5 linked regions of the Coturnix japonica genome follow. The protein of the gene in region 1 interacts with the protein of each later gene in a pairwise test. Links are inferred from orthologs where the notes say so. Each region holds a gene or a part of one and is shown in the gene's direction. Other genes may lie near its edges.

What was found.
Region 2: the proteins of homeobox protein VENTX-like (region 1) and DAB1 interact in binary tests that used the Homo sapiens proteins (3 or more experiments, as listed by UniProt). The two-hybrid records come from large-scale screens. The link is inferred for Coturnix japonica from reciprocal best matches to the Homo sapiens genes VENTX and DAB1.
Region 3: the proteins of homeobox protein VENTX-like (region 1) and TBX22 interact in binary tests that used the Homo sapiens proteins (3 or more experiments, as listed by UniProt). The two-hybrid records come from large-scale screens. The link is inferred for Coturnix japonica from reciprocal best matches to the Homo sapiens genes VENTX and TBX22.
Region 4: the proteins of homeobox protein VENTX-like (region 1) and TBX15 interact in binary tests that used the Homo sapiens proteins (3 or more experiments, as listed by UniProt). The two-hybrid records come from large-scale screens. The link is inferred for Coturnix japonica from reciprocal best matches to the Homo sapiens genes VENTX and TBX15.
Region 5: the proteins of homeobox protein VENTX-like (region 1) and C23H1orf94 interact in binary tests that used the Homo sapiens proteins (3 or more experiments, as listed by UniProt). The two-hybrid records come from large-scale screens. The link is inferred for Coturnix japonica from reciprocal best matches to the Homo sapiens genes VENTX and C1orf94.

What each region holds. Positions count from the first base shown.
Region 1 is NC_029521.1:18,714,268-18,720,486, reverse strand, and holds the start of homeobox protein VENTX-like, read left to right. Parts: upstream 1-2,547; 5' UTR 2,548-6,219. Other genes in the region: kinase non-catalytic C-lobe domain-containing protein 1, read left to right, coding at 1-63, 1,210-1,332, 1,435-1,494, 1,932-2,089, 2,313-2,544. UniProt on the Homo sapiens protein: May be involved in ventralization.
Region 2 is NC_029523.1:23,460,299-23,466,427, reverse strand, and holds the start of DAB1 (disabled homolog 1), read left to right. Parts: upstream 1-1,875; 5' UTR 1,876-1,935; intron 1,936-2,679; exon of another isoform or gene 2,680-2,968; intron 2,969-6,129. UniProt on the Homo sapiens protein: Signaling adapter of the reelin-mediated signaling pathway, which regulates the migration and differentiation of postmitotic neurons during brain development.
Region 3 is NC_029519.1:1,462,745-1,469,175, forward strand, and holds the start of TBX22 (T-box transcription factor TBX22), read left to right. Parts: upstream 1-2,161; 5' UTR 2,162-2,656; coding exon 2,657-2,792; intron 2,793-2,881; coding exon 2,882-3,011; intron 3,012-3,347; coding exon 3,348-3,449; intron 3,450-3,861; coding exon 3,862-4,036; intron 4,037-4,116; coding exon 4,117-4,281; intron 4,282-4,354; coding exon 4,355-4,419; intron 4,420-4,489; coding exon 4,490-4,575; intron 4,576-6,182; coding exon 6,183-6,431. UniProt on the Homo sapiens protein: Probable transcriptional regulator involved in developmental processes. This is major determinant crucial to palatogenesis.
Region 4 is NC_029516.1:70,578,456-70,584,925, forward strand, and holds the start of TBX15 (T-box transcription factor TBX15), read left to right. Parts: upstream 1-2,914; 5' UTR 2,915-3,259; coding exon 3,260-3,461; intron 3,462-6,470. UniProt on the Homo sapiens protein: Probable transcriptional regulator involved in the development of the skeleton of the limb, vertebral column and head. Acts by controlling the number of mesenchymal precursor cells and chondrocytes.
Region 5 is NC_029538.1:4,085,085-4,091,201, reverse strand, and holds the start of C23H1orf94 (uncharacterized protein C1orf94 homolog), read left to right. Parts: upstream 1-1,840; 5' UTR 1,841-1,926; coding exon 1,927-2,159; intron 2,160-4,457; coding exon 4,458-4,927; intron 4,928-5,256; coding exon 5,257-5,426; intron 5,427-6,117.

The sequences.
Region 1 (6,219 bases):
AGAAATGCAGACAGTGTCAGCACCTGGGTTGCTGCTGAAATTGTAACATGTCATACATCTAAGGTTTGTCATTGTTTTGTTGTGTTATTATGGAATATTTATATGTTAATGCGTATACATAAATGTATAATGCGCCTATGAGTTGGTATTTAACAACTATATTTGTTGTCATTAGGAGCATCTGATATTTTGTAGGTTTTAAAACCTGATAGAAAGTAAGAAAGGGGTTGCCTGAGAAGAGGTGAAAGACTAACAAAAGCATCAGTGAAAGAGAAGACCAAAACGGTGTAGTTACTACAGTTAATACAGTCAACAATTCTGATAACAATTTCTGAAAGAGAATAGCTGTCTTCTTTTCTTTTACTTTCCTTATTTTAAGTCATTTTTTAGATTTATATGATATGATACATTTCAGAAGTGTGTAATCTGGTTTCTGTCTGGGCAGCTACTATTTTTGTCAAAACCAAACAGTAGTTGAATACTGTGATTAACTGAAATCTCAGAACTGTGTATACTGCTTATATACCTTCCTGATAGTTTAGTGGAAAGTCACTTGTTAAACTTGATCAGTGTTTTGGCTTCTGAACTGAATAATATCTTAGTAAACATGTGTCTCTATTTTACTAGGCAGCTACCACTTGATTTCTTTCTAACCACTGTAAAAAGCCTGTGTCTGCATCTACTCACATTCATTTATTTTAACTCTCAGAGGTCATACACTTAACCACTCAATTCCCTTATCACAGTTTCTATTGGATTATTTATTGGGTTTATATTGGGTTTCCCTATTTTTAATTTTTCTCAAACCACATATGAGATAGAAAATTTTAAACAAATGTTTTGGTACTGATTGGTCATATGAAGTTGATGTGTTTTGACAGCTTTTAAATGTGTATGACCAGTATCAGACACTGTATGTGAGGAAATTTAAATGGGAAGTATTTAGTCTTCATTTTCCCCCTGGAGTTTTTTTTTAGTGACTTTTCAGCCTTGTAAGAATTGAGAAATTACCTGCAATAAACCTTGGGCTTAGTACCTTCCACGACTTGCAAGGATACTTCTTTCCATGAAATCATTAGGCCTAATTTCCAATTCCAAGCTCAGACAGTATACGAATAAAGCATATTCCTAGCAAATGATTGAATGTAATAATTTCTAAACCCACATGAGCAGAACAAAAAATGGTATAACTAAATTCTTTTTTTCCAGCTGCAGGTGAGCTTGTTATCAAAATTTCTTCTTATAGCAAAGTCCTGCTATGAACAAAGAAATTTTGCTACTGCAATGCAAATCCTAGCAGGCTTGGAGAATCTTATTGTACGACAGTTGCCAGTAAGTTTGGGACTCTCTGTTGTAACTATTTTGCCTAAAATAAGCTTGTTCAAATATGGACATTAATATGAGAAACAAAAATGTGTTCTCTTTTATTATAAGGCCTGGAAAATTCTACCTGCAAAAGTAGCTGAAATAATAGAAGAACTCAAGGCTGTTGAGGTATAGTATGTGGTCTTTAAATAAAATATTTCTTTGGGAGTGAGGGAGACTCAAGTTCTTTTTAAAGGAGTAATGAAAGCCAAAATTAGTGTTTTGAATTACAAAGGAGATTTTAAATTATTGTCAGACTGTTGTTTCTTGGTCTGGGTTTACATTTTCACCTCAGTTTTTCTCAAAAATGTATCCCATGTGACTAAGAATCAAGAAAGTCATTTCAAAGCAAACTGCGAAATTAGATATATTTTCTTGAAGAATTCAAGAAATGGGAGTTTTCTGAATGTAATATATTCTGAAAAATCCTGAAATGCAATTTTAGCTGTGAACTAGAACTTATGAAAAATATGATATGTAGTGCTCAGCACCTGAAGCGAAGAACTCCTTATAAAGACTAGCCTTAAATGTAATACGTTACTTATCTGTGTGCATTTTCACAATAGGTGTTTCTAAAAAGTGACAGTTTGTGTTTGATGGAAGGAGAAAGATTCAAAACACTTCCAACAATTCCATCTGCCCATGTTTTAGCTATGCATGTCCAACAACTTGAAACTGGAGGATTCACAATGACAAATGGAGCTCACAAATGGACTAAACTTAGGTAATTATTTAGCTGTATGAAAGATAGAATGCTATCTAATGAGATAATGAGAGCTAATGCATTTCCCATCTAGCAAATTAAGTCTAGCTAATTCAGTCATTTTTACATTAAAGTGGACAAAAACTGTAGAGGTAAATGCTCAGTGCTTTTTTATTTCCTTGAAACTTTTTTCTTCTGTCAATAGCAACATAAACTAATCTTTTTAAACATATTTTCTTTCAAGAAATATTGCGAAAGTTGTGAGCCAAGTTCACGCATTTCAAGAGAATCCTTACACATTTACACCGGATTACAAGCTGCAGTCTTACCTCAGACAAAGAATAACTCGTTTTAAGGATGCAGACATTTCTGCTTTGGCCGCTGACAACTGTGCCAACTTCCATCATATACCAGCAGAAAAACATTCTCGGAAAATCCAGGACACGCTGCGCAGAATGAAGGCAACATTTCAGTAATTATTTACATTTCATCTGTTCTATTCCAAGTATAGAGTATAATACCGGATTAAATTGACTTTACTTCCTGAACCAATTCCCAAACAAATACTTAAGTGACTTAAAATATTGTCTCAGTTTGAAATGGGTATATTACTTAACGTGGAATAGTAAAAAAAAGAAATGCTGACTAATGAAGTATGATTCCTTGGCAAGTGGATAAAGGTGAAAAGTAAAGAGACTAATTTTGTCACTGTCCTTTTGCATAAAATAATAATTAGCCAACAGGCAAAATATCTGAAAAGTACTGTGGTAGCAACTTATACTTGCAGCTTCTGTTGCAAAATTGTCCTAGGATTATTTGGACTATGTTAATTTAGTGTTGAATATATTTTTATATAAACATAGTACATTTGTATCCTATCATGATGTGCATATAATTCAGGGACGTCTCTACTATCTGTTGACTGTTGGTGGTTTTTGCTTTTATGTTGAGTATTATAAAACCATGCATGATGGTTTATAATTGTCTATCTTTTCATTTGAGCATACAATGGAAGGAGAGGAAATACCATGTTGTAAAATTTTTTTTCTTTTCATCTTACTGTCACTGAACTAGCCTGTTTCCACATGAAAGTACGATCTGAATCTAAATAATTACCACTTTCTTGCTTTGCTGCTGCCTCCATGGTCTTGTGAAGAAAGTAAACATGAGTTGATCTTTTTCTGTGTCTGGTACAAAAATCAATCACTTTGCCAATTGTGTATGTATGTATGTGGTGGGCACATCTGGTTATGTCTTTTGCTCCTGAGGTTGCTCTTGTAAATTGCAGTGCTCCAGCAGCATTAAATAGGAGATAACTATTAACTTTTGATATGCATCTTGTAAAACTTTGGTGCTAACCTATTCATAGAGCTTATGCTTACAGATACCTAAACAGCAATGGGAAGTGATGCTTTAGCTAGAAAGTTTGTTGAGCTACCCAGGTTCATGCAAGGTCAAGATCTTAAACCCACAAGTTAATTAAGGTGACAATTCTACCAGAGGAAACAATAGTAGTATTGGAAGAGAAGTGGGAAAGGGCAAGAAACAGATAGAAGGATCTCTGTCCTGTAACTGATTTGCTGGAAATGTGTTTAACAAAGAAGGAAAAGAAGGAAAGTAAAATTTTGGAAAAAGCAGATGTGAATTAATTGCCTTGGCATGTTTTAATGATGGAGAAAGATGGGAATATGCACATCTGTAATATTTTGCAGATTGTACTATTGTATTTGACAGAAATGCATGTGTACATGGTAAACTGTAGTTTTTTCCAATGTTTAAGAGAAAAGATTCTCCTTTTCTGATCTCAATGATGGCAATATATACCATCACAGGCCTTCTCATCTTTCTCAACTGAACACAAGGTATGTCTGTTCTTTCCAGTAAATACTTCCATTATTTTTTTATACTAATATGGTAGCTCTAGACTGATACTTGTATTCCTACTGGTTTAGATGCTGGAAAACTCAGCCTTCAACTGGATTTTCTTGAGTTTGTTCTGCTTTTAAGATGATTTCTTTTGTTACTTATCATATGTACGTTTAACATGTCGTTAGTGTTCCTGCTCACGCTTGAGAATGAAAAATATGTTTCTATTTTAATAAATTTTAAAAATATTTCTCTAAAAATTGCCAAATGTGAAAACATTTAATCATTACCTCCTATATTTAAATAATAGAGTGATTTAAGATTGTCACAATGACTTCATCTTCAGAAATAAGTTCACCATTAAAAAAATTAATATTTACTTAAAGCCACGCCTTGCCTTTGAAAGACAGAACAATTTGAAGTAGCATAAGCTTTACTACTGCAAAGAACTCCACAAACTTGCTCGTGTTACCTTAATAAATATATTTTATATAGTTGCCAGTCAGGCTATTGAAATTGCTTTTGTGGATTTACTTAGCGTTTATATTTTGCACCCACCTTAATTAGGTCTTACATGTCTCACCATTTTTATCAAGATCTAAAGCAACTACTACACCTAGAAAATATTGGTTTTATTCTGTGACAATAACTGGTGCTATACAAGAACTTAGAAGTCATTTTGTATCTTCTGCATAATGCTTCAGTGTGTCAGGCTTATTGTTGTTATAAATGCATAGTATGGAGGTATGGTACTACTTTGGGATGTTTTCATCAAACAAATATTGAAGTTTTTGTATTTAGACATCACTGTACAACCACAAGTGTAAGTATCTACTGGGGTAGGTGCGGAAAATCACCTTTGCAAGGAAACCAGACTGCTTTTGTCATCTTATTTACATCTTAATTACATAACACGGATTTCTCAATAAAGTTATGTCTAGCATCTAATGGTACTGCTTATTTATAACTAACGTGCAGCAGGATTTGAGCTAAACTTTTCCATCTCTGAGTGGAATGTCCCTTTAAAAGAAAGCACAGATCATAACATGTGAAAACAGCATTTGGTTTTCAGACAAATGACCTGTAGAGTTTCTTCAGTGAAATATTCTCCATGGGAGCCTTTCCAGTTCCTTGCGTTCATTCCTCTGCATTGGTGCTCTTTCTGTGTACCTTTGCAGGTCTCTTTTCCCAGGGTCCCTGGGTTTTTCAGGACTCCTGCAAGAGTGCTGGGAACTGTGTCCTAGTCTCACAGTAGCTGCATTGGAAAACAGGTTTCCAGGATCCACAGTTCCAACTTTCAGAAGCCTGTCAGGAAACGTGGATGGATTCTCTTGATTCCCAGGAAGTATTCTATAGAAGGCCAGACCAAGTAACTGGAAAATATTTCATGAATCACCATTGATTCATGATTCCGGCAAGTTTCTTTCCTTGAAAAATCTTCAACCAATTCTATACTTTGCTTTTATGGTTTTTTCTATTCTTTCTCAGTTGGATTTGTTTCATAAGCGTTACTCAGACACATAACTTCTCAGTGAGTGATTTGCAGATGATTAGAACGTTAAGAAATCTGTTTCTAAATAACAAATGAATAAACTACAATTTGAAGAGAAGGAAGCTAACAGTCCTTCAGGGATAGGCATGTGGGTTGTTGTTTCAGTCCTCAATACAGCAGTGATAGAGAGATTGTAGATAAATGATTTTCCTTTCTCATAGATGCTTAAATGCAATCCAGTATGTATTCATCCTTACAATGCAAAAACTTACTGCATTCTGTTTAAAGTTTTAAGTTTCTGTTTAAAGAAAAAAAGGCAAGAAGACCTGAGATGTACAATGAGAGAGCCCTATATGACAGAAGGTAATTATTTTGCTCTATTTGGCACTTGTGGACATCAGCAGGAATAGCTTACCATCTAAACACTGTATTTAAGAAACATACATGCTAAACAAAAAAGACTAGAGGATAGCAATAAGAATAGTATTTTTTTTTTAAATGCAGAGTAAAAGAATTAGACCTTGAAAAAGCTATGTTGAGTAGGATTCAGTGTGTGTGAAATGTTGCTGTAAAAAGTTTTTTGTAGCAAAGGACAGAACTAGTTTTCTCTATGCTCTGTGAAGTTTAAGGCAAGGAGTATTGATTTTGAAGCAGTGTTGATTCTGTTTCAGTTTTTACATTGGGAAGTGTCTTGTTGAGCTCTGGAATAGGGTACCCATCTGTAGGATCCCTTTTCCTGTGGACTTATGAGAACAGCTCAGATCAAATTGTAATGAGTGCACACACACACACA
Region 2 (6,129 bases), on another chromosome or scaffold:
TGGGTAGGTGTGATTTCCTCATGGCAATTTTGGGTCAAGCAGGCACCCTAACCTGGGGCACCCTTAGCTGTGCCTGGGTGCAAAGGGCAGCAGAGTGCATCCCCAGCTGCTCAGATGGGGGGCCTTTGCATGCCTGGCTTCAGGGATCTTTGCTAGCACCATGGGTGATACTTTTGGTTCTAAGCCCATAATGGTGAGACTTGGAAAGGAAATGTGCTATGGGTACAGAAGCAGGGAGACCTTGATGTCACTGTCAAGATGTGAGGGTGAAAGTAGCTTTTTCTTAACCCTTTCATTACCACATGGGACTTTTTGACTTGCAATTAAAGGAACCTCTGAGTTAAGCTGAACAACAGCTGAGCACAACAGAGTCCGTGCTGCATGCTGCTTTCTCAGAGCAATGTGTGCTGTAGCTGCTGAGTAACGTAACAGGGAAACCTCATTTCCATGCCAAGCTCTGCCTGCCCCAAGCAGAGCACAGCCCTTCCCTGGCTGTGGTTGTGGCTGCAGCATTATTCCCTCCTTTCTGCTTTTCCTGCCTCGTTCCCAGCTCTCTGCTCCTTGCTGCTCGGAGGCACACAGCCTCAGCAGCTCTGTGTGAGCTCACCAGCACTCTCCTTCACAGCATCCCTGGGCTTTTTGCTCAGCCATCTGCGTTAAGGAATAGAAATTAACAGCGTTTGCAGACAGACCTCATGCAGTCATCTCTTACAGACAGTTCCCGGTTCCTGTTTGGATGGGATTGCTGATGAGCATTTGCATATTTGATGCTCTCTGTACTGACTCGTCTGGTTAAGCTCTTTCCATGCAAGTTTCTCATGGGGTCCCCTCCCAAATCCAACTGACCACCCTCCCCCACTTCAGCAGGAGTTCTGCTAAAAGTAGGCAGGGGTCTGGAAACAGTGGAAGAATGCAGGTCATGAGATTGACAGGTGTTTTGTGCTGAGAGTTGTAATGGGGATGTGGTGGGATTGGAGCAGGTTGGGCTGGCGTGGATCCTCTTCCCATTCTCCTAAACCCCAGAAAGGAGCAGACTGGAAGCAACTAAGGATAAGGAGGGCAATCAGGGTATGGCTCAGTCCCATAGGCTGTCCAGCAGTTTTGTTCACCTGTTATTGTCCATAACTAAGGGATAACAAAGTGTCTGAAGCAGCTGTTATCAGATGGCTCAGGGCTGGCACCTGGATCCTAACAGGCAGGAGAAACCATCCGTGCTGTCACAGATACATGGCACAGGGGTGCTGGTGAGATGTTGGGGCTGTGAAAAATGCTGTCTCAGATCCACAGAACCACAGGGGTCAGGAGGAACTTCTGTACTTCCCCAGTCCAACCCCACTACGGCAGTTCTCTACAGCAGCTGCATAGGAATGCATCCAGGTGGGTTTGGATCTCTCCAAAGAAGGAGAGTCCCCCCACCATGTCTGTGCAGCTGTGCTGGGGCTCTGCTGCCTCACAGTAAAGTTCTTCCTCATGTTCAGATGGAACTTTGTCCCACCTTGTGCCCATTGCCCCTTATTCTGTCACTGAGCATGGCTGAAAAGCTCCCAGCCCCATCCCATCCCCCTGACCCCTATTAGATACTGAACAGGGCTGTTAAGATCCACTCTCAGCCTTCTGTTCCCCATTAGCACAACCCCGTGGCTGTCACCCTGTCCCCATCGGGAGATGCTCCAGGTCCCACCACCTCCGCATCTCTGCGCTGAGAGCTGCTCCAGGTCCCTCATTCACCCCCTGGGCGCCTCCTTCTGCCCCCGGCCGGGCGGGGGGATGCTGCCAGGCTCGGCCTCGCCCCTCTATTAGGGGGAATGCGGTAACGCGGTGGCTGCAGGGGCCGCAGAGCTGCGCGCGGAGCTGCGCGCGGAGTCGGGTGCGCGCATCGCTCCGCTGCCGCTGGAGGATGAGAACGGCGCTGCGGGCGGCCGAGCCGGGCTGCAGGTAGGGAGGAGGAGGCGGCCGGGTTGTATGGTGTGTGTGTACGGGGGTCCCGGCTCACTAAGGGGGGCCGTGGAGCGGGGGAGAGCTTGTGTGTAAAGTTTGGGCCGCTCGGAGGGAGGGAGGGATGGAAGGAGGGATGGAAGGAGGGATGGAAGGAGGGATGGAAGGAGGGATGGAAGGAGGGATGGAAGGAGGGATGGAAGGAGGGAGGCGGGGGCTGCGGGCTGCTCCGTTACGGAGGGGCGGCGGAGCTGCGTGGCCGCGGGGAAAGCCCCGCGTGGGGGGCGCGGAGCCGTTGGCAGCGCTGCAGCTGCCGGGGGAACTTGGGGCTGGTGAGCACCGGGCGGCTCGTGCCGTGTGTGTGTGTCTGTGTGTCTGTCTCGGTTGCTGTCCCCCGTCGGCTCCGCGTTCCTCGCGGTGCTGCCCTTCAGCCCTTCGCTGTGCCCCGCTGCTAACGGAGGTGCCCGCTTGGTCAGGTTGGTGAGCAATTAGGCGTAACCCCTTCGGGATGTGACTCCGCGGGGTCTGAGTCGCGGTGCTGTGAATTCCGGCTTCGGGCTTAGCGCCGGGATGGGATGGGTTGATGAGGGCTGCAGGGTGCAGCTGTGGGCACGGCTGGCTGCGGGGAACAGCAGCGCTGCTGTGCCGTCCTGCTTTCACATACGGTCCCTCCGCCGCTGCTCCAGTGTCGGTGCCCGGGGTGGGGGCTGTCTGTGTGCTCCGAGTGCTGCCCGGAGCCGTTAGCATCGCTCTCGTGTGATGACGCCGTTGTTGGATGAGCGCGGCTTGAAGCCGACGTGCCGCTCGTCAGAGCCCACGAGTTGTTTCTGAGCTGAATTTTGTTCTCGTGAGCGGAGAGGCATTTGCACTGCAGTGTTACAATACAGCCATATTAAAAAGGTCCTTGGAGCAAATAACCCTCCAGTGCTGCAGCGACGCGGCTTCAGTACTTCTATGAGCAATAACCGTGCTGGATTTCCGACCTGAACTGACTGTGTTCTTTTAATTGTGGTATTAAACGTTCATGGGAGCGGTAAGTGTGAGCTGAAACCTGGAAAGCAAACCCCCAACCCACCCGAAGCTTTATTCGGAATCAATTCATTTTTATTTATTTATTTATTTATTTGCAACAGGTCCTTCTGGCTTTTGCTTTCTGCTGTTAATTAATTGGCAAGAAGGTCTTTTCCTTGCATGTGTTTCCCTCGCTAAGCAGAGTGATGTTCTGGTGCTGAGCAGCAGCTCACGGTGCCGTGGTTGTCTTCCTTGGGTGGTTCAGTGTCTGTGGTGCTACTGGGGATGGAGGCAAGGAGGACCGGGGATAAGGAAGGAGGAGATGGCTGAGATGGGTGGCATTTGCAAATCAGGCAGTGAAGGTTTCTTATGACTTGGTGATGGTGTCTGTGGGACCTGAAATAAGCAGCTGAAATAACACCCTGCTTCGTGGTTGAAGGTCAGCGTCGGGTCCATCGCTCAAGCAGAGCTCTAAGCACCATTGCCATGGGTGGGAGAATGAGGGTGCAGGGGGGGGGGACCTGCAGGCTGATGTTTCCTTGACTGACAGACACTTAGGCAGCACCACGTGCCACTGTGATAATTTGGCCTCTCTAATGACTTCCTCCAGCAAGCTGATAGGGAATTAAAATGTTTGCAGATGGGTTTTGGAAGGGTTCATCAGGATGGGGAGGGAAATCCTTCTATTCTTAGATTTCTCTAATCCCAAGCTTCTGTTCCTGTAGTCATGCTAATTTTTTATTGATTGTTGTGGCAGAGGATGCTGTGTTGTAGAGAGCAGTAATTCCAATGTATCTGCTCCAGGCAGAATTGTCCTGGGAGGAAGTGGGAAGGAAGGAGAAGCTAAATAGAGACATGGTACTGCAGTCCCTATTAGAGATGCTCATAAAGCTAAGGTCATGGATGAACAGCTAGATGCTTTTACAATTACGTTTCAATGAATGGACTTAGCTGGAATCCTGTGTTTTCTGTAGAAGTGCCAGTAATTACTTACCTTGAGTGTCCTCCAGCTCAAGACCATTTCTCCATTGGAAGAAACTGTGGGAAGATGTTTGATTGAGGGTGGGCATTGTTTCCTGTATGGATGTCAGCAAAAGAGAATGAGCTGGAGTTGAGACTGGTACCCAGAATGACAGCACAAGAGGAACAAGAAGTTGGTCACTCTTGATGATCAACTTTCTCCTTAGCAGCACCATATGAAGGTCAGGAATGTAGTCTGTATTTCAGTCACCACCTGATTCTTACTTAATATTCTTATGTGAATCCATCTGCATGGATCAGATGAGCCTAAACCGTGCTTGCTTCTCTGTTGGCAACTCTTAATTTCACCAATTTCATGCTTTAGTAATATGAGTTTTTGCTGTTGAACTGCAGGAGTCTACATTGCTCCCTTCCACGCTATTTAGAGATGTAAGCAACAAACCCAACCCAGCACTGGCAGGTGTGGATGCTTTCAAAGCAACCTCTATTAAGTGAGTTCAGTTTTAATGGTGGTGGGGGGGAATGGAGGAGGGCTACAAAAATTGTAGGGAAAATGTGACATAATGATGTTTTCTATGCTCCTTCTTCTTCTGATTGCATTCTGCTTGCAATCACTCTCAGACTTTAAATGTCCTTCTGCTATTGGAGCACTCGAGAGTGAAGTGGGTAGCAAGTTTGTGGGTTGATGCTTTGCCAGGCACGCAAAGCAGGCTGGAGATGAAAACAAGCTATTCTCAACTGCTGATTATAGTTCTTGGAACAGGGAATGAAAGGTATTCTTCTGAGTAACCTGGAGAGCAAATGAAAATGACCCCTTAAACAGTGTCTATAAAACACCATTTTGGTTGAAATTGTTCTATTACAAGAAATACAGAGGATGAGAAACCTGAGCAATCTTGACAATCGTTTTGGGATTGTTCTACAAGAAGATCAAGGGCTTGCCAGATTTTGCTCTTATGCACATAAATCACCTTTCCTCCTCCTGTTCCATAAAATGCATTGGGTCAGGACTTTGCAGTTTGCCATCACATTATTTCAAGTACCTAACGTATAGTACCCATCACAAATAATAGGAGATCCATGTTTCACAGCCCTTAAATTTCTTCATTGCTATGCCAAGATAAAGAACTTCCAAATTTCTCATGCAAGAACATGCGCATGCACTCCTCTTTTATATCTGCAGATTGATGCGCTCAGCAGGAGCTTCTTTGATTCTTACAACACTTAAACGTGACTGACTCAATGAAAAACTGCTGTGTGAATATTTATTTACTCTAGTTTTAATGTAGCAGAGATCTATTAAGATGGAGCAACTACTTCTGGGTCCTTAAGCTGTGGATACAGCGCGGCAAATGACTGCGCTCAATTGTGGGACACTGGCCATGGTACCTGTACAATAACTGTGCCGTATGATAAGGAAAACAAATCCTACTGACGTCACTGGGATTTCTGATTTGAAAAGTTAAATATTCCTCAGTGAGAGCCGTAAGGGTATTACTTTGCCTCATGGAGGGCTTTCTCTGAGTAACGCATCCAAATGGATGTTGGGATTGCCCAACACTGATAATTCATGCACCTCTGGAGTGGAATTCAGCAGCCGTCGTGGGCTGGAAGCATTATGCAGGAGGGGTTTGGGGAAGAGAGATGAAGAAAAACTAATCCAATTGAAACTGTAAGGGGAATTTAGGAAGCAGAATGCAATTATCCGAGTTGGATATTGGCCAGGACATGTTAGTTAACATTTTTACTCTTGCAGGAATTGCCATGGGATCGTTAATGACGATGAGTGGTCAGGGCTCTGTTTTACATCTCATTTGAAAGCTTCAGCTGAGGAAGACATGAATGTTCTGCCTTCCTACAAGGTGTTTTGCTGTGGTCAGTGTGTCACCCACCCCATGCCCCCTGTGCTTTCTGGACACATCTGCTTTGCATCACTATGTAGCGTCCATAGTGAACCAAGGTGATGAAGCTTACTGAAAAGTAACTGATGTTTCAGGAGAACAATGCTCTAAACTGTTCTATGGTCATGATTTTCCATCCAACTGTGTGAACCTGAATCTTCTCTAATAAAAATAGCAACTATTTTTAGTTAAAAAGTAGCAGTCTGATGTCAAATGTTCTTTAATGGCAGTGCCTTCTTGCAGTTGGCTTGAAAAGGAGCAGGATGGCAGTAAGCAATGGAAGGGGGAAGAGGCTTCCAAG
Region 3 (6,431 bases), on another chromosome or scaffold:
AATGAGCTGAGCAGCGCGCTCCCAGCCCTGCCCTGTGGCTGTGTCTGATACCCGTGGGCACGGATTCAGTCTCGAGGTTTCTATCCCGTAATTCCGTAACGAGATAAAAACAACTTTTCCATCCACATTGTGAGTGGAGATTTTCCAGAGTCAGCAAACAGGGCTTTGTTTCACATTACGTGCAAAGAAAGGTTTTCTTGCTCACGGTTCTCAAAACGGAGACTGAATGGCCCTCCGCCCTCCTCTGTTAGACCTGACAGTGCCAAATTTATCAGCACGGTGTTACATAAGCTCGGGACATTCAGGTGCAGGCACAGAGGATGAACGGCACCGGTGCGTAACGGAGCACAGAGGATCTCTGTCTTCCCAGCGTCGGCTGTGCGTCCTTTCCTTTGGTTTGGTTTCGTTTTGTTTTCAATTTGAAGTGAATCTGGGCAAAACCGAGCGCTGCTGCAGCGCAGTGAAATGCCTCATGGCAGCCCCAGCACGGCCAGCAATGCCAGGCTTTGGCATCTACCTGTGTGCCTCAATGCTTTAATGGGCGCTATCCAGGATCTTGGAAAGCAAACTTGGATAGCAAACGTTCCGCACAAGACTTGCTTCAAAACGGAGTTAGTTCATCTGAACTTTATGCCAAGGGATTCTCCACTCCATTTTCTGATGATGGAAACATATGACATCCCACCCCGCAATTTGTTAAGGACAATAAGCTGACAAAGCCCAGGGAGGGGTTCTGAGTTGGTCTCGGATGAATGAAAGCAGCCCCTGGAAACACAGCCCTGCCGCCTTCATCTGACCTAAACCCACAAAATGTTCCTGATTATGTCGTCTCAATTGTGCTTTATTTTTGTTTTATTTCTCCTTGTAGGAAATTAAAAAGGGGCCGCTTGATCCCACTCCAAGTTCTTGCAATGTGTTGCAATGCTGAGGAAATCAAAGATTACTTGAAATACTTCTTAATAATCTGTCATGTCAGCAGAGATAAAGGTTCACGGCCCGTGAGCTCAGCTGGCTTCTATCAGTGCTGGGAAGGGAGGGACCCCACAAACCCCCTTCCAATTACCAACATGCTTAAGGAGTGGTCCATTTCTCTGGGTAGAGAAGTACAGATGGGTATAGACAAGTATAAATGAGGATCAATGTGCTGAGCCCGCTCTCAGCAAAGTAATGAGCATCTTCAGTAACGAAAATCCTCAGTAACAGGCAACCTCAGTGACAAGCATCCTCAGTATTGTGCATCCCCAGTAATGTGCATCCTCAGTATTGTGCATCCTCAGCAATGTGCATCCTCAGTATTGTGCATCCTCAGTATTGTACATCCTCAATATTGTGCATCCTCATGTGGGCTGTGAGGCCAGCAGCAGCTTGTGGCACTGACACATATTGGATACATCAGCAGAGGGCTGACATTCAGTGCTCCCACCGCCCCATCCCCACCTGCACCTCACCAACTCAACGCATTCCCTCCTGAAGGCTCACCTGCCTCAGTTGATATTTTACCAACACTGTCCACAGATTGAACTTCCTCTATTTTTTTCCAAGCCCCTGGCTGCAGCCCCCATCTGCTTTGGGATGTGGGTGCCACTGGAGCACAACAGCACTGCAGGGATACTGCAGTGAGAGCACAGCATAGAAACGGGACTGGGATGTGTGAGTGGGATCAGGATGCTGGAGCAGGACTGGTGTGCATGAATGGAATTGGGACACTGAGGGGGACTGGGAGACACAAGTGAGATTGTGATGCTGGAGTGGGAACAGGATTCTGGGATACAAGAGCAGAACCTGGGTGCAGGAGCGGGATTGGGATGCTGGAGTGGGACTGGATTCTGGAGTGTACCTGCAGAACGGATGTGGGGATGCAGGAGTCGTGTGGTGGAGCGGGACCTTAGGCTTCCCTGCCCCACCGAGGCTCCGTTTCCGAGCCGCTGCCGCCGCCGGACGTGTAAAGACGGAGCTCTGGCAGCACCCGGAGTCGGTGCGGAGAAAAAACCCGACGGAGGCAAAACCGGCACTCAGCGCCGACACACGGCGCGGGGACACCGAGGTCCGCCGGGAGCGGCCCCGTCGGGACAGCAGGAGCCCGGAGCCGGCATCGGGGGAAGCCAAAGCGTGGGGGTTTCTCCCCACTTTCCCTCTGCTCCCCCCCCCCCCCAACATCCTCACCTCCCCTTTCTTTCCCGTCCTTCGTTCTTTTTTCATTTCTTTCCTTTTTTTTGTGCTGGTTCTGGTTAAACGTTATTTGCACTTTTGTTGGGAAAGTGGCCCCTGGTGTGCAATTATGTCAAATTTCTTTGAGTTTTACAATTTAATGGAGAACAGTAACTCTTTTATTGATCCTAGACGGGGCCGGCTCCTCTTCCCCCATCTTCCCCTCGCCTCTCCCTTTCCCCTCCCACCCCTCCTCCCCCCGTCCCAGTCCTACCAAATGTCACTCAATGTTTCTTACGCTCCCATCAGTTTCCAAAACAAACAGTGAGAGCCGCAGCCTCCTCTCGCCTCACTTGGAGCACCTCGCCGTGCCCGCTGCCCCCCGACGGCCGCCGACTGCGGGCCCCCACCGCGCCCTCATGGAGCCGCCGCCCGGAGCTTCGCCTCCCGCCTGAGCCCAGCGGCCGCCCGGGGGGAGCCCGGCCCGGGCTGTGGGGGGCGGGGGGGGATGGCGCTCAGCTCCCGGGCTCACGCCTTCTCGGTGGAAGCTCTCGTGGGCCGCTCGGCCAAGAGAAAGGGACCCGACGGCCGCGACGAGGAGAGCGGGGCGGGCTGCAGGCAGAGCCGCAGAGCCGCAGAGCCCGGTTGGTAGCGGCGGGGCAGAGCGGGGGGAGTCCCGTTGAGGTGTCCCGGCAGCCGCCCCAGCACTCCCTCCGCTTTCTCTTCCCCGCAGAAAAGCGGCCCAAGGCCGGCGCCGAGAGCCGGGAGGTGGGGGACGAGGTGCAGGTGGAGCTGCAGGGCGCCGAGCTCTGGAAGAGGTTCCACGAGATCGGCACCGAGATGATCATCACCAAGGCCGGCAGGTAGCAGCCCCGGCCCCCCGGCCTCGTTCCTGCCTTCAGCCTTTCCCGCTCAGTTTTCCCTTTTGCATCTCACCCATTCCTTTTTTTGTTTCTTTTCTCAGCTCTCCCTCACTGTTTTCATCTTCTTCTTCTTTTATTTACTTACTTTTGCTACGTTTGTGGGACTTTTTGTTGTTGTAATTTCATTTTTTTTTATTATTATTATTATTATTATTATTATTATTATTATTATTATTATTTTCTCCAGTATCTGTTTAACCTTTCAATCCATTTTCACCTCTTTAAAACAACCCCCGCTATGGGCACTCCCTAACTGCTGCCCCGTGCCCCATGCAGGCGGATGTTCCCATCGGTCAGGGTGAAGGTGAAGGGGTTGGAGCCACTGCAGCAGTATTACATCGCTATCGACGTTGTGCCAGTGGACTCCAAACGGTACAGGTATGGTGAGTTCCAATGGTGGATGCGGAGATGGACCCTTCTGCATGGCCAACAGCTTCACTGCGGTGTGGGAATGGAGGGATGGATGGGGGATGGATGGATGAATAGATGGAAGGATGGATGGAAGGGTGGATGGATGGATGGATGACACACTCATGGGTGGAGGGATGGAGGTACGAGTGGACCGATGGGTGGGTGGTGGATGGATGGATGGACATACCAATGTATGGATGGATGTAGGAATGGAATGATGGATGGATGGATGTAGGAATGGGCCGAGGGACAGACATACAGATGGATGGATGGAAATACTGGAACGATGTATGGATATATGGTTGGACACAGGAGTGGATGGGGAGATGGACTGGCGCATCAGGAGTACAGTGTGTTGATGGTGTCCCACTTGGTGCAGGTACGTCTACCACAGCTCACAGTGGATGGTGGCTGGGAACACGGACCACTCCTGCATCACACCACGGCTCTACATCCACCCTGACTCGCCCTGCTCGGGGGAAACATGGATGAGGCAAATCATCAGCTTCGACCGGGTGAAGCTCACCAACAACGAGATGGATGACAAGGGTCACGTAGGTGTGGGGCAGCCATGCAGTGGGGCTACAGTGGGACTCCGGGCAGCAGCTCAGCCTGGCCCTCTCTGCCCACACAGATCATCCTGCAGTCCATGCACAAATACAAGCCCCGTGTCCATGTTATCGCCCAGGACTCCCGCTTCGACCTGGCGCAGATTCAGTCTCTGCCGGCTGAGGGGGTGCACACCTTCTCCTTCCAGGAGACCGAGTTCACCACGGTGACAGCCTACCAGAACCAGCAGGTACCCACGGGGCTGCGGCCACCCAGCCTCCCGCTTCCCAGTGGCCCCATTGAGATGTTACTTCCACCCACAGATCACCAAGCTGAAGATCGATAGGAACCCCTTCGCCAAAGGCTTTCGGGACCCTGGCAGGAACAGGTAATGGCTCAGCCACCCCCCATTACAGCCTGAGGCCTGGCCCTGGCTCTCAGCCCCATATCACCTGCAGGGGAGTGCTGGATGGGCTCCTGGAGCCCTTCCCATGGCGGCCACCACTCGCTCTGGACCTGAAGACCTTCAGCGCGGACAGCCAGGGTGAGTCTGGGTATGCAGGGCCAGGTTGGAGCTGTGGGCAGGAGGACGAGGCTGTAGGGTTGAGTGGGGTAATGGGTGTGGGGTTGAGGCTGTGAAAGCGTGAGTGTATGGGATTCTGTGGTTTTATATGATTTTTTGCCACAAGTCCCATTGAATTCAGTGTGAACGCTCTGGGGGAAGCAGTGATGGACATGGCAGAAGCCGGAGGAAGATTCAGACTAACAGGAAAAAAGATATATATATATCTTATATATATAAGTATGCATATATGTAAATATATGCAAATATGAAAGAGGTTATTTTGGAGTAGGGTTGTTGTGCCCTTTGGCCTGCGGTGCCATTGGTTCCCAAACCATTGGAGGATACTGTTTAGAATAAGAATAGCGAGTCACAGAAAGGAGACTTGGGAGAAATTAAGAGGTCTAACAGATTGTAAAGGCAGACTGGCTTTGTTCCTTTTTTTCCTTTCATTTTTGTTCTTTTTTTCCTGTTTTTCCCTTTTTTCCAATTTTTTAACTTTTTTTTTGCCTATTATTTTTTTAATAGAAAAAAAAAACCAAAAACAAACTGTTTCTAACATAAAAAGCTGCTCTGGAATCAGGCTGGCATGCTGCAGTGTGAGAGCAGGGAGAGGGGCAGCAGTGGGGGCTGAGAGAACATGGGCAATTTGCAGTTATCGGCACACAGACACTGAAACGTTACGACCTGGTTTGGTTTATTTTTTAACTAATTGTCACACGATGCCTATTTTTCCTAAGGGCCAATATTTGAGGTGGTCTTAAAGCTTCCTTCTATACCCAAACCGTTCTATGATTCTGGAAAGATGGAAATAGAATTCTTATCTCTGCTGATAAGAAAAATGTATTTCTGGGAGGGGGGGGGAAGAAATATCAATCTTGGAGCCTGAAAGCCAGGAGAGAAATTAAAAATGATAAGCTAAATATAATAATTGGTCATCAGCTGGGATTTTAAAGCCTGATAGGGACAGCAAAAAGAATTTGCTCGTTGAGTTGCTCTGTTCTTCCCACTGTCATGCCCAGATTTGTATGGGGGTTGAGTGATGCGCTGCTTTGGGCACGGGCTGCACCCAGAGAGCTCATCTTTCTGGATGGGAAAGTGCTCGTTCATTTCTTTCTTAAAAGAGAATGTCAAAATGCTGTGTGCATTTACGGCTTCAGGAGACACCTACAGTATTCGAGGGTACGTCTCAAATTGCATGGGGATCCAAGGAAAATGAGTCAATTCCTGTGAGCTGGAAGGTACAAGAAACTCTTCATTGGGCTGAATGTATCTTTTTGTTCTCACGTAGAAGGGGGGAAAGCTGCTTGTGACTTGCACAGAAAACTGGGAACCTGAAATAACGGTGCTGCTGTCATGGGAGGCGGTTATCGCTGGCACAGCGGGCACAGAGCTGGTGTGGGGCTGTCTCAGGCACACTGATGGGGTCTGACACACATGGGTATTTCTTAGACAAGTGGGAGAAGCTTTCTGATGACTGATGAATCTCCCTTTTGCCCAGTTGGTGACATTGGGATGCACGGTGGCACGGAGCTGCCTGCTGGCGCACCTGCTGACCCACTGCGGGCTATTCCTCTTCTTCCCTCCAGGAAGCAGCTCCAGCTCTTCCCCAGTGACCTCCAGTGCTGGGACACCTTCTCCTCTCAACCCACTGCTGTCCCCTCCGTGCTCACCTCCCACCTTCCACCTGGCTGTGAGTGGTGCCGGAGCGCCGTGCCCTGAGCCCCACCTGCCTGGCCTTGGCGTGCCTCTCTGCTACCGGCTGTGCCCTGCCAACCTCCTCCGCCAGCAGCCCCTCATCCTCCCCAGCCACCAGAAGCCAGGTGGCCCTGGTCCCC
Region 4 (6,470 bases), on another chromosome or scaffold:
TTCACCATCGTTACCTACAGCACGGGGACAGCCCCAGCTCCAGACACGGGACCGGGGTTCTGTAGACGGGCTAAAGCATAGGAACAATATTGGGAGACGGGACATTTAGCTGCTTTGTGGCCGGGAAACACGCCGAAAGCAGGAAAGAAACGAGAGAGGTCCTGGTAAAATGGAGGGAAAGCGGTGGCTGTTTTACGGTCCGAGTTTATAATCGGATTTTTTTCTATCCTGATAGAAAGCAGATAAATTTATGAAGGGAGAGCTAAGAGAATAATTACAGGGTGAAGGTAGTTAAATTTTATTTCGAGTCCCAAAGGCAAAACCTGACATTTTATTGCAAACATCTGGAAGGCTTAGGAGAGTGGCATGGTGTTTGTTTAAACACTCATTGAGAGCTTCATTCCGTAAAGTACAAACAAAGCCCATTTAAAAACACCCGGACCGTAAACCTTGTGCGGCTCTTCGCTTCTCTGTGCCCTAAAAGAGAGGGGGAGCGGAAGGGGGCAACGAATGGGCGCCACAGTAGGGAAGTAATTAGGAATTAGTTCGTCGTACTCAGCGATACCGTTTGTGCGGACCATAAAACAACCCGCTGCCGTGCTTTTCTCGTGGCTCGTGGCTCGAAGCCTCTTCCGAGGGCACCGCCTCGGCTGCTCCTCTGCTTTCTGAAGGCGATCGATGTACTGAAGAGTAACAAACCCCGAGCCCCCGTTATCGGGCAGCTCATTGCCCACGCTCGTTGTTTTCAATTACCAACGGGGGGACGGGGGGGGAAAGAATAAGGACTCCCTGTGCTCGATGTTGCTGCGGGACCCTCGGTGCCGTACCCCATAGCAGTGCAGAAGTGTTGCAGGCTGCGCTCAGCCCCGCGAGCACCACATCTGTGCAGCACTCCGCCGCTGCCGCCACCCCCGTTTCTCCCCTTTGCAAACATTTCCATCCACAAACAAATATTTTCAGGCAACGGGGAGGAGCGGGAGAGAATTATTACTTTCTGCATCTCGTGGCCTGGCCCTGAGACCCCTTGCTCCCACTGCTCGATTCCAGAGAGCGGTTTCCTGGATTTAATGGAGGTTGAGGCCGAAGGGCCGGCGGAGGGGCTGCCCCCCGGGCTCGGTCAGGGTGGGAGCGGTGCTGGGCGCTGCCCTCGCTCCCGGCTCTCCTAGTGCGGTCTCTGCCCCTCGGTCAGGGACTGGGAAGGAGTTGGGGCTGCTGGAAACGCTCGTTGCGCGAAACCACGCTGAAACCCAGGAAAATCTATGTCGGTGTTCATGCATCGCCCCCCAAATTGAGCTTCTTTTCCAACACCATTTCCTCTCTCTAAAACGCTATAAATAATTATGTTTTCTTGGGTTCTCTTCCTAAAATCTCCCTTCCAGATCCTTTAGAAGCCCTCTTCGCTCTCCGTGTTCTCTCGTAAATAAGGGAGCAGGTTCTGGTTGGGCTCACAGCCCCTCTCCGTCGGGCTTGAGGCCGGCGGTGTCCTGTGCGGCCCTAACTCCGTCCCGGCCCCGGTGCCGGCGCTGCGCCGCGGCCCCCTGCGAACGCTCCCTCGGAGCGCATTGCTCTCCCCCCGCTTCCCCCCTCTCCCCCGGGATCCGGAACGCGACCTCCCTCCCCTCGGGCTGGGGCACCCCCGGCCGGGCGCGACCCGTCAGAGGCGATGCCCCAGAGGGGAGGGGAGGGGAAAGGAGCGGCGGGGGGTGCGGGGCGGGCGGCGGGGCCGCACAAAACCCGTTCCTCGGCCTAGAGAGCGGCACTCCGTTTTGTCGGCGTTTCCCGAGGAAATCGTTCCTTTCTCGCCTTTCGGCCCGAATCCCCCTTCCCCCACTCGAACCCAGGAGGACCCCGCTTTAGGTCGGGCAGAGATGTCCGAGGTGTTTCTCGTACCCCCAATCGCGGCACCGCTGCAGTGTCGCCAGACGTCCCCAACCCTCGTCCCCACTGCGCTCCGCAGCCTCCGATCACAAAAGTCGATCCCCGCGATCCACTGCCCTAAATGGCTCGGTCTACACTAAGCCAAGCTCGTCCTATAGAAATAATTCTATTGTTTATTGTTTATCCAGAGCCTCCCTTCGGTCCTTGGACGAGATGTAACTATCTCTACTCCTTCCCCAGTCGGGGTTTCTCTCGATCGCACGGATCCCCGCTCTCTGATCATAGAGCTGCCCTCTGCTCTCGTAGTTCAGCCCCGATTTCCCTTCTCTGCAAGCTCGAAGGGTTTGGGACAGAGCAGGCAGAGGGGCCGATGCCATCTCTACCGCTGCCCGAGGCTGTGCCTGGAGGGTTCGTTCGCTCAATGGTTAAAATGACAGAAATAAAGAAATAAAAATCAAACTAAAATACGGTAAAATAGAATTAAATTAAATAACAAAAAAATGGAATCGAATATTAAAATAAAATCGAATAATGAAATGAAATGAAATGAAATGAAATGAAATGAAATGAAATGAAATGAAATGAAATGAAATGAAATAAAATAAAATAAAATAACAACTCCATTCACCATTGCAAGTTTCACTTCAAAACAGCAAGAAGTCCCCACCACCAACCCCACTGCCGACCCCACGGCACACGGTGTGGATGACGATTAAGCAGCACCCCCAGATTTTTAAGGCCTCTTTCCAACACCTCACATTGCTTATCTTTTTAATTTTCGGGGGCTTCGTTCCCGACCCCGTAGGCAGCGCGGACACCTCCCCGCACTCAGAGCGAGGCGCTCCGTTAAGGGTTAACTCCCCGCCCGGTGCTCGGGGGCCGCGGACGGCCAAAATTCCTCGTCCCGAAACCCGGCTCTCCTTCCTTTCCCATTGGTCCACAGCTTTTGGGTCTCTCCCGATCCCTCTTTCCCATTGGCCAACGATATATATATTTTCACTAGGTGGTTTCCCCCCCCCCTCTCCCTCCCCCCCCGTTTTGACAGGCGCAAGCAGCCTGCCTAACTCTCGGAGAGAGAGAGAAAAAAAAACGACAACAAAACCAACAACAACAACAACAACAAAAAACCGACTCCCAGAAGTTTGGATCAATCAGAGACAGACAGAGAGAAAGGGGAGAAGGCAAAAGAAAAAAAAAAAAAAAAAAAAAAAAAAAAAAAAAGAAAGAAGAAAAAGATGAAACCCGGCCCGCTGCCCCTGTGAGCAGAGCACAGCCTCCAGCTCTGCCCCGCGGAGCACCGCAGCCCCATGTAGGACGGGGCTGTGCCGCTGGTGCTGGAGCCTCGGGGCCGCGTCCGCCCAGGGCCGGGGCCGGGGGGAAGATGAGCGAGAGGCGGAGGTCTGCGGTGGCCCTCAGCTCCCGAGCTCACGCATTCTCGGTCGAAGCCTTGATTGGGACGAATAAAAAGAGGAAACTGCGGGACTGGGAAGACAAGGGGCTGGATTTGTCCATGGAAAGCCTCAGCCCCAATGGCCAGCTGGGCGACGGCGAGGACCCGACGCAATGCCTGGACCTCAACCCCGGTCAGTGCCGCTCCGTTCTCCGGCAGCTGCTGCGGGAAACTCCCGGAGTTGGGGAGGGGGGGGGGTGGCGGATTGGGGGGGAGGAGAAGGGAAGGCGTTGTGCGGAGATTTCTCGGATTTGTGTTATTTTTCTTCTTAGTATTTTCAGTTTACAGTGACTTTTCCGTAGCTCTTTTCTACTTTCCCTCCCGATCCTATATCTCTCTCGGACTCCGAGCACCTCTCGCTTCCTTCTTCCCCCTCTGCCCCCAACTCTGTGCTCTGTGTTGACCGCGGTGGGACTCGCGCTCCGCATCGCCCGGGTCCCCCACCACCGAGGGAGGTTGGGGTGCACAAACGCCGCGTCACCGCTGAGTCTGCCCCGTGGGTACCGAGCGGGGCGCCGGGCAAGGGAAGAGAGCCCCGGAGCAGCGCATTGCCCGGCTCGGGACCCTCAGGGGCTGGGAGGGAGTGGAGGGCGGCGGGATGGGGGAAACGGGGCTGCGTGTTGCTTAGAGACAGAGAACACGGGGCTCCGCTCCCGTATCTTAAAATCGACTATTGTTACCATCGATATTACCGTGTTTATTTAGTACAGTTTTTATTATACGCTATTATGATTGTTACGATGATACACTACTTTTATAATACGCTACCATCATTATACGTACTATTTTATTCGAAAGGCAGACGGTAGCCCGGAGGGCTCCCCCGGCTCCAGCGAAGCCCTGGGGCTCCTCTTGTCCCTCTCTCACTCTGCCACATCTCTCCGGTCCTCCAACGCGGCCGCGGAGCCGCGGGTGGGTGCGCGCCGCCTCTGAGCGCCGCCGAACGGGACGGGGCCACGTCGCTGCCCCCCGCGGGGTTCGGGCTCGGAGCGAGGTCGCTCTCGGTAATTACTCTTCCTTCAGTATTGGGGTGCTGGGGGTGGGGGGGAAGGCCAAAGGATGTCTGCTGCCACCACGTAGGAGAAAGGATAGGAGCTTCCTCCCCCGCTCCCGGGCCGCTCAGTCACACTTAAATCCCTTTGTAACTTATATATACGCTTACTGCAATATCCATATATTACACGGTATATATTGCGATTTATATATTGTACTGTACATAGTGAGAAATGCGCGCATTTGGTGATTTTCCTGCATCAACCGCCGAAAAGCCGCCGTGAAGAACGTAGAGAAGCTTAAGGAAACAGTGCGACGGATCACCAAACGATTAAGTGAAAGAAATCCGTAGTAAAAACCCAGCCGGGTGCTAACGGAGGGAGCCGATGCTCGGCGCTGCGCAGTCCCGGCCACGGCGCTCCCATTGCGCGGTGCTACCGGTGCCGTCCCGGAGAGACGGAGTGAAGCGGCCGCCCAGAGACAACGAACAGCGAGAACAGCTGAAAATAGAAAGGAAAAAAAATAAGGAAATAAAGAAAAGAGAAGAAAAAAAGAATAAAAAGGAGAGAAATCACGGCTTTAGGGTATTCCTCTTTCAAATTAACAAATACGGGACGGAAGAGACAAAGATCTGCTTTGCCAAGGCAGAGAAGATGCGCGCATTGGTCTTTCTTAGAACAGTTTCTCACTAATTCCCGGTGTCCGTACAATGTATTTGTGTCGGTCTAGAAGTTTGATTTGCCTTTTATCCTCCACGAATTCGAACGAACAAAACCAAAACACCCCAACACTTCTGCTCACCGGGCTGGAGACTGATAGAAAACTGGCTGCAAAACGCCCGAGGCCCCGGCGAGCCGTTGTGGTGTTTTTCATAAAGCGAAGGAAATCAGGAACAGTTCGGGAAACCATTCCGAGGAGCCTGATGGACTTTAAACGAAGTCCCGGCTGCAATTTGCGCGCTCACTTCATTAAAGCCAAATCCCGAGCAGCGCACTTCTGCTGCCTGGGTGGAAATTGGTTCGCGGCCGCGTAATGGCCCCCACATTCCGGCTTTATAAGGCCCCATTAAGAACAAACTTTACACCTCGAGCGTTTAAACGTCGCCAAATCTCTGGCGATATACCAAAAATTGGAGGAGGGAGTTTTTATAGCGTCCCAAACCTTCCCGATTCCATATCGCTGCTTTGAATGGAGTAGGAAATAGCGCGGCTATAGCGCTCGTGCCGGAGGCGGATCGGTGCGGGTCCCGAACACCGCATTGAAAATCGCGCACCGATCCGGCTCAGCAGAGAGCGAACGGGCCCCGATTTATCGAACTTCTCGCAAACATTCACTTCGAGCCCGGGGGGTTTCGCCGAGCCGCTTTTCGTCTGCCCCGGGGAACGCAGTGCCGCCCGAGGGAGGCTGAGGAAGGTTCCGTCCTCTTCCTCTCCGCCCCTCTCTTGGGATGCCTCATCTCTCGGCTACCGAGTCTGTCGTGGATTTTCCCCCGGTCTCGGCGTGCGTGTACCGTGAGATAAACGAGATCGTTCCTCCGTGCCGCAGCGTCGGGGACCGTGTTTTGCCTGGGGAGCCTCGTGAGCCTCCCACGGCCTTCGCGTAGCGCCGGGAGGAGCCGCGCGTAGAGCGATGCGGGGCCGTGGGCGGCGGCGGCTCTTTTAGCTCTGCCCCAGCCCCACGCGGGGCACTGCGGGGCCGAGAGCCCCCGCCGCGTGTCGCGGGGCCCTGTCGATGCTGTGTCTCTGATTAACTCCCGGCCGAGGGCGGATTTCGGCCCGGCGAACAGCCGACAGCCGGCACTGGGGAAAGTTCCGATGGGAGTTCGGGGTTTCCTCCTCCTAAACGCGGTCGCTCCACACGGGTGGACCCGCAGGAGCTCCAGGGACAGAGCTAAAGAGTGAGGTTGGAAATGCTCAGTTCCGTGTGTTTCGGTGCTCGTGGCGTTCACAGACATAGAAAGGCGGCAGCGCGTTCCTAAGCGAATTCTGCCGCTACAGCCTTCGGGATCGCGCACCCTCATCTCTCGTAAAATGATAATAATGATAATAATAATAATAACAGTAATGAAAATGAACACGTCCGTTACAATGAACCCAACAAACCAACCAGCCCCTCAAAACCCCACATTTTAGCAAGTGTTATTTTTGTC
Region 5 (6,117 bases), on another chromosome or scaffold:
AGCACAGCCCCCCCCCCGGTAAACAACTTGATGATATTGACACGATTTTGGTGATGAAGCAAAATTGGGTAAATGCGGAACATAAAAGGGACCAGCCCCAGGCTCTGACCTGTCCTGGGCAATGGAACGGGCTGAGCCAGCCCCCCCATAACCCCCCCAGGACCGGGCTGAGAGCAGCATCCTCCTCTAACCCCCACCTTGTTGGTTGTTTTTTAAGCGTCTGTTAGCCCATTTGTCCCTACGGCTGCATGCAAGATACGGGGGGGAGGAAAAAAATGCGGTCTTTAAAAGATACAGTGAGGAACTTAATTATCGTGGCGATGATGCGCAGATCCGCGGACAAGAAAAACAACAACTACGTGACACTACAGCTTAACAGAAAGGAAAAAAAAACACCCTGAGAAGTCGTTCGTTTCCCCCCGCCCCCCCAAAATTCCCAGCAACCAACTGCCCAACGACCACCCCTCGGCCAGCAGCAGCCCCATCCCGCAGCACCGAGACTCGCATCCTCCCCATCTCCCCCCGACACGGAGCAGGGCGAAGCAGCCGAGCCCGGCTCGGGGCCGCCCCCAACCCCCGCCCTGCTTTTGCTGCAGTTGCTTTGCTGCAAAACCCCCTTCTTGGGGCTCGTTCCGGTTGCCCTGAATGAGCTTATTTGACAGCTTAAAAACAAATGATATCGAGGGCTCGCAAATCTGCCCCTCCGCCCTCGGATCCAGCCTCTCTCTCGCTCCCTTTTCCCTGTGTCCCCTCTGCATTTGAATCCTTCCACTGCCTACACTGTGAGCCAATGCCAAGAGCCAAGGCAACCAGCGCTGTTACATGAAAGAGTTGCTTTATGTCTGCTTAAACTGCAGTGTCCTATTCAAATAGACCTTATTGTTCAAAGGCACGGATCCAAATCGAAAAGGATCACAGAACAGGGTACCACACTTGACAGCTCTATACATCGCTTCTCCCTTACACAGCCATCCACCTCGGCCCCCAACCCCCAGGCTGTAGCCGGAGATGCAACTGGGTTGCTGCACACAGCAGAGCACAGCCGAGCCAAGGTCTGGAGCCCCGCACCGGGAGCAAGCAGCCAGCATAATCGAGTCATTGAGGAGACACAGTCCCACTTTATTCCTGGGCAATAACGCCATACCTATTGCAAATGAAGGGCTCCCAACTAAGCGTGGCCCCACACCTAGCAACGAAAGCTTACTCTCTCTTTAAGAATAAAAAGTATTTATTTGCTAAATGCAGTGTGATGAACGTAGAATCCATCACCATAGCCAACATCTATCACTGCAACTCATCTCTCCTCCCTGCCCAAACAGTGAACTTTGAGAACCCGAGAGCTTGGCAAGGGCACATAGAACAAATGCCAATACCAGGCACAAACCCCAACCCATGTCCCTTGGACTCTCCTTTCTCTCTTCCCCCCAATGAAGATCACAAACACAACCCTTGGTGATGAATGAGGAACCACAGAACCATTCACACTTAGGGAATTATGCCAGGAATTGAGAGAGTTTCACCACTAGTCATCCAGCATAGGAATGCAAAACATCTTACTAACTACCACATTTTACTCTTTCTTAACCATATCATCACTATTGGTAGGGAGAAAATAACATTTATCTGGGCAGAGGCATGAGTGAGCAGAGCCATGCGCTCTTTGGAGCTTCATCACCTGCGCATTAAATGGAAGAGGCAAAGCTCCAGTACAGAAAGAAGGGGGCAGGACAGCTGAATGCTGACCCTGGAAAGACAGGGATCTAGTTTATGAGAGGGGAAGCTCCCAGCTGTGCCAAGGACAAGCAGATATTTCAGTTATCAACTGCCAGGACCTGGCGTTCCGTGGTTGCCACGGCTCTTCTTTCCGTTTGCCATGTAAACAAAACACCACTCAAGAAGATAGCCTGGATGCATAGAGGCTGAAGGATGCTCACCAGCATAAATGGGTTTGCAGCCCCAGCAGTGAAATCAGAGGGGCCGTTCCCACTGGGGCCATACCCACGGCACATCTGGATCCACGACAACACGCCCCAAGACGGGCTGGACAAGGCCTGCCATGAGATCTGGAAACGGATGCAGAGCCCCCCCGAGGAGCTTCAGCCCATCATCTGCATGGACCCACAGGGACCCCCATGGAGCAAGAACGGTGCCCACAGCGGGTGAGTGACCACCAGCACTGCAGGACAAGGGGCTTGACTCCAACAGAGCCCTCATAACCCCTAGAAACAGAGAGCTGGAGCACAGGGGTGCTGTGTTGGCTTTGGGCAGCCTCTTAATGGGACAGAGTATCCCCATTTGTCCCAATATAACCAGTCTTTTTGGGAGAGCTTGTCCCATGAAAGCCAGCTACTTGAAAATCTGAAGCACCACAAGCAGCTGCTGCTTTTGCTTCCCCACAACATTTAAAGCAAAACAACTACACACACATCAAAATATTTACAGGAAGAAGTGAAAGCAGCATTCAAAAGGAACAAAATCGAAAATTAAAGTGTTATAAGGAAGCTACTGTAAACAGCTGATCTTTACAAAGAGAAGCTGAATTTAGCACAGAAAAAATTATGCCAAATCATGTTCTGCGGGACAAATGGTGATAAGGGAGGGAAGGATGCTCTTCAGATTAATGGGATAATATTTACTGTATGCTCCTGAAGTAGAAAAAGAGTGAAATTTACATGTCCAGCTATCAATCAGCAAGTTATTAGCTCGTGTCCACTTCTTAAAGCCTAAGTCACACATCTTGCCTGATACAGTGAAAAACAGCTGTCGTATCTTTTAAGACTAACATCACAGATTGAGAAAGCTGATAATTCGATGCTTTTAGCTGAAGACGTGGAGGATCAGAAGGGGAAATGCCCTATGCTGTGTCACTGTGAAACCCAGGGAGTACATCTTGGAGCCCTGACTCCTTTCCTTTCCCTTCCATATCCATAACAATAACAGTAATAACTGGCCTAGAATAAATGCACAAAGTGAAACCAAACAACCCAAGAATAACCAGTGAAGCCAATGGACTTGCACTGGCCTACAGCAGCAGGTCAACTTATGCTGCTGAAACATCTTGACAATTAGCACAAGCTCAGCCACGTAACTTGGTCATGCCAGCTGCTTGGAAGTCCAAGCAAAGAGATAAGGTATAAACCACTGTGAACTATTAAACGACATAAGCAAAGCCACCATTAGAAATATATAGGTTCAGTTTTTAGCAATTAATCTAATGCAGTGAGAGCAGCCCACCCTGCAGCCCACCCTCACGCCACTGTAATGGGGTTGAGGAAGCAGATAAGAACGATTTGGGACAACCAGCAAGGACCTGTAACAAACTCAACACCTCCAACTAAGATGAAATTAAACAGCCAGCAAAGCGCAGTGGCTAAAGCACCTTCCTCAGGGTCAGAGAAATGATTCATTGTTCTCCTGCTGATCTTTGAGTTACTTTGGGCAGCTGCTCTGACCCTTTCTGCCAGCAGCATTTCCCTGCATTCAGCAAACAGGCTCTTCAGCAAAGAAGTGCCCTCAGCATACACTCACACAGTGCAGTTCATTGCTCACCAGCTATTCAAAGACACCCCCCTGAGTCAATGAACCTTCCAAAAATACCAAACCTGAAGCAATGAAACCAAATCGCTGTACAGAATTCAAGGGAACTTCCTTAAAATCCCTACAGGTGAGGTCAGGTGTCCACCTCCAGCCTCGGAGGTGGCTGCAACCACCAATGGAGAGAGGAATCCCAGTGAAAGATGGGATAAAGCATTGTAGAAAATAAGCTTTCTTTGGAAATGACAGCAATTTTCTATTTTTATGCCCATAGTATAGGTTTGTTGAGGATTTTAAGGTATCTGTTCTTTAAAAATAGGGAGATAAAGCAGCATCCTGCCAATTATGGTGATCCTATGATTAGAGATAATTAGCTACATTTAACTATCCAGATTTCACTAATATTAGCAATCCATTTATGTACTATATATGTATCTGTACAGTGCATGCACAGAGCATCACTTCCCCTCAAGCTGAGGAGAGTAAATGGATGATACGTTAAGTTATTGAACATACCTGGCTGTGAAAGAGCAACGTGGAATTTAAAGGAGGATTTTGAGTAGGGAACCACTACAAACACTGAGTTGTGCCTTAGAGACACAGCATTGTTCAGCCCTGGCAGCCACCCCACTGTAAGTCCTAGAGGACTTCATGGCTTCCAGTCTGAAACGCCATCACCCAACTTCAGTTATTCCCAAATAGGTGTGTTAAGTTCAGATTTTGTTTTAATTTTCCCATTTTATGTGGTTCTTTGGAGAAGAACAGTGTCCTGGAGGTAGGTTTCATTCCGGTTGAGAAGGAATACTCGAGGCTTAAACGGAGCATAAATGAAACAGAAATGCAAGGCATAGAAGCAGTCAAGAAAATGAGTTCAATCTAATGTCAAGCTCTCAACAGAATCCCTATATTTCACATTCTTACAGGGACTGGTTGCTAGATGAAACAGAGGGACTTGAGAGCATATACAGAGCAGTGATTGGAAACAGAGAAAGAGAGATGAAATTAAGAGCTCTCTGCGATGCTCAGCTTTCTGCTAAATCCACCATCACCAACCTCCTGCGTTCAACAAGCTCTCCCAGGATCTCCAAGGGGTTGGGGGACAACAGCACAACAGGTGCTGGTAGCACAGAGGGCAACAAGCTGGGGATGCCATTGCTGCTGAAGCACACAGATATTGCCAAAGGTCCAGACAGGCAACTCATGGCTGAGGAAAGCAAGACAATGAAAGAGTTCTTCCAGAATGGCACTGTCAGTGCTGCAAAGAATAGCACAGCTGTGCCAGCTCTGATGGCAGAAAGTCAAACTGCAGGACAGAAGCAGCAGCTCCCAACACTTGCCAAGATTTGCTCCAGACCTGACTCCAATGCAGCCACAAAGGCACTGCAGAATCCAGGTATGGATCAGGACACAGTTTCTTCTGTGCTAATTTCCTGGTCTCAGATAGTTTTGTTCTTACAGAGCTCAAAACAAGAATCTTTTGCCCCATTCCAGTCATTCTTACAGCTCAGGAGATTAACTTCATTCCAGGTCCTGTGGGTTGGGGTTTAATGGCCTTACATGTGAATCTGATCTGCTCATTTCTAAGCATGGGTCTCCAGAAATACAGCCTGCAAAAGCATCTTAAACACTTTGCTCACAGGGAGTGCATCCCCTTAGCTGCAAGTGCTTCATGGTTTAATGAAGGGAATGCTTAATTATCTTCACCCTTGTTTTGTTTTACAGTAACTACTGCAGCACTGGATAAAAAAATAGTTATATACAATGCCAGCACTTCCAATCCACACTTTCCCGTTACTACAACCACCACAAACTTAAACCAGCCAATGTGGCCGAGTCTGAGCTTCCCTCCACTTCCTCTATATCCAAACCAGCCAAACTACCCACCCTTTCAGGTAAGATTGAATAAACCCACATTTTAGAACATTTCCAGGCCCATACTGACAAGCTCAGGGCAGCAACTACCTCTGCTATGAGAACTGCTTTCTGATTTGTAGGGTAGAGCCTAAAAGAAACCAGGCTGCTGTCCTACAATGACTGATCACACTGGTTCGCCATCAGTGTTAACATCCAATGTAATGCAGTCCTCTGAGATGTTAGTGATCAAAGGATGATGTTCTATTGACATATACTGAATGCTGACCTCTCTTGGCATTCATTAGTTTCCATGTTTATGTTGCATTTACAAATATTTATCCTGTATTACAAATATTTTGAGCTAATAATTCATTAAGGATATTTCACTCGGTGGCTCTGTTTGCACAACAGGATGCTGCTTGCTTTCTTTGCCTGGCGAAACAGGACCTCAAATCAAAGTGAAAAAGCCATCTAAGGTTATTAAGATGGCAAATGCTTAAGTCAAAAGGAATGAAAGAATGGGAATTGTACATACCTATGGTTTACAGCCCCAGAATTTCCCCTGAAGCCCACGGTTCAACAGAGACCTACTGAGCACAGGACAAGTGCAGTCCTTCCACCCCCAGCATTCAGCCAGGATTTGGGCTTCTCTGCCTGGTCTTAGGGAAATAAAGGGAAGACTTCCCCAAATCTAAGAAGTTAATTTACCTCAACCTGGTTTCTCTGAAC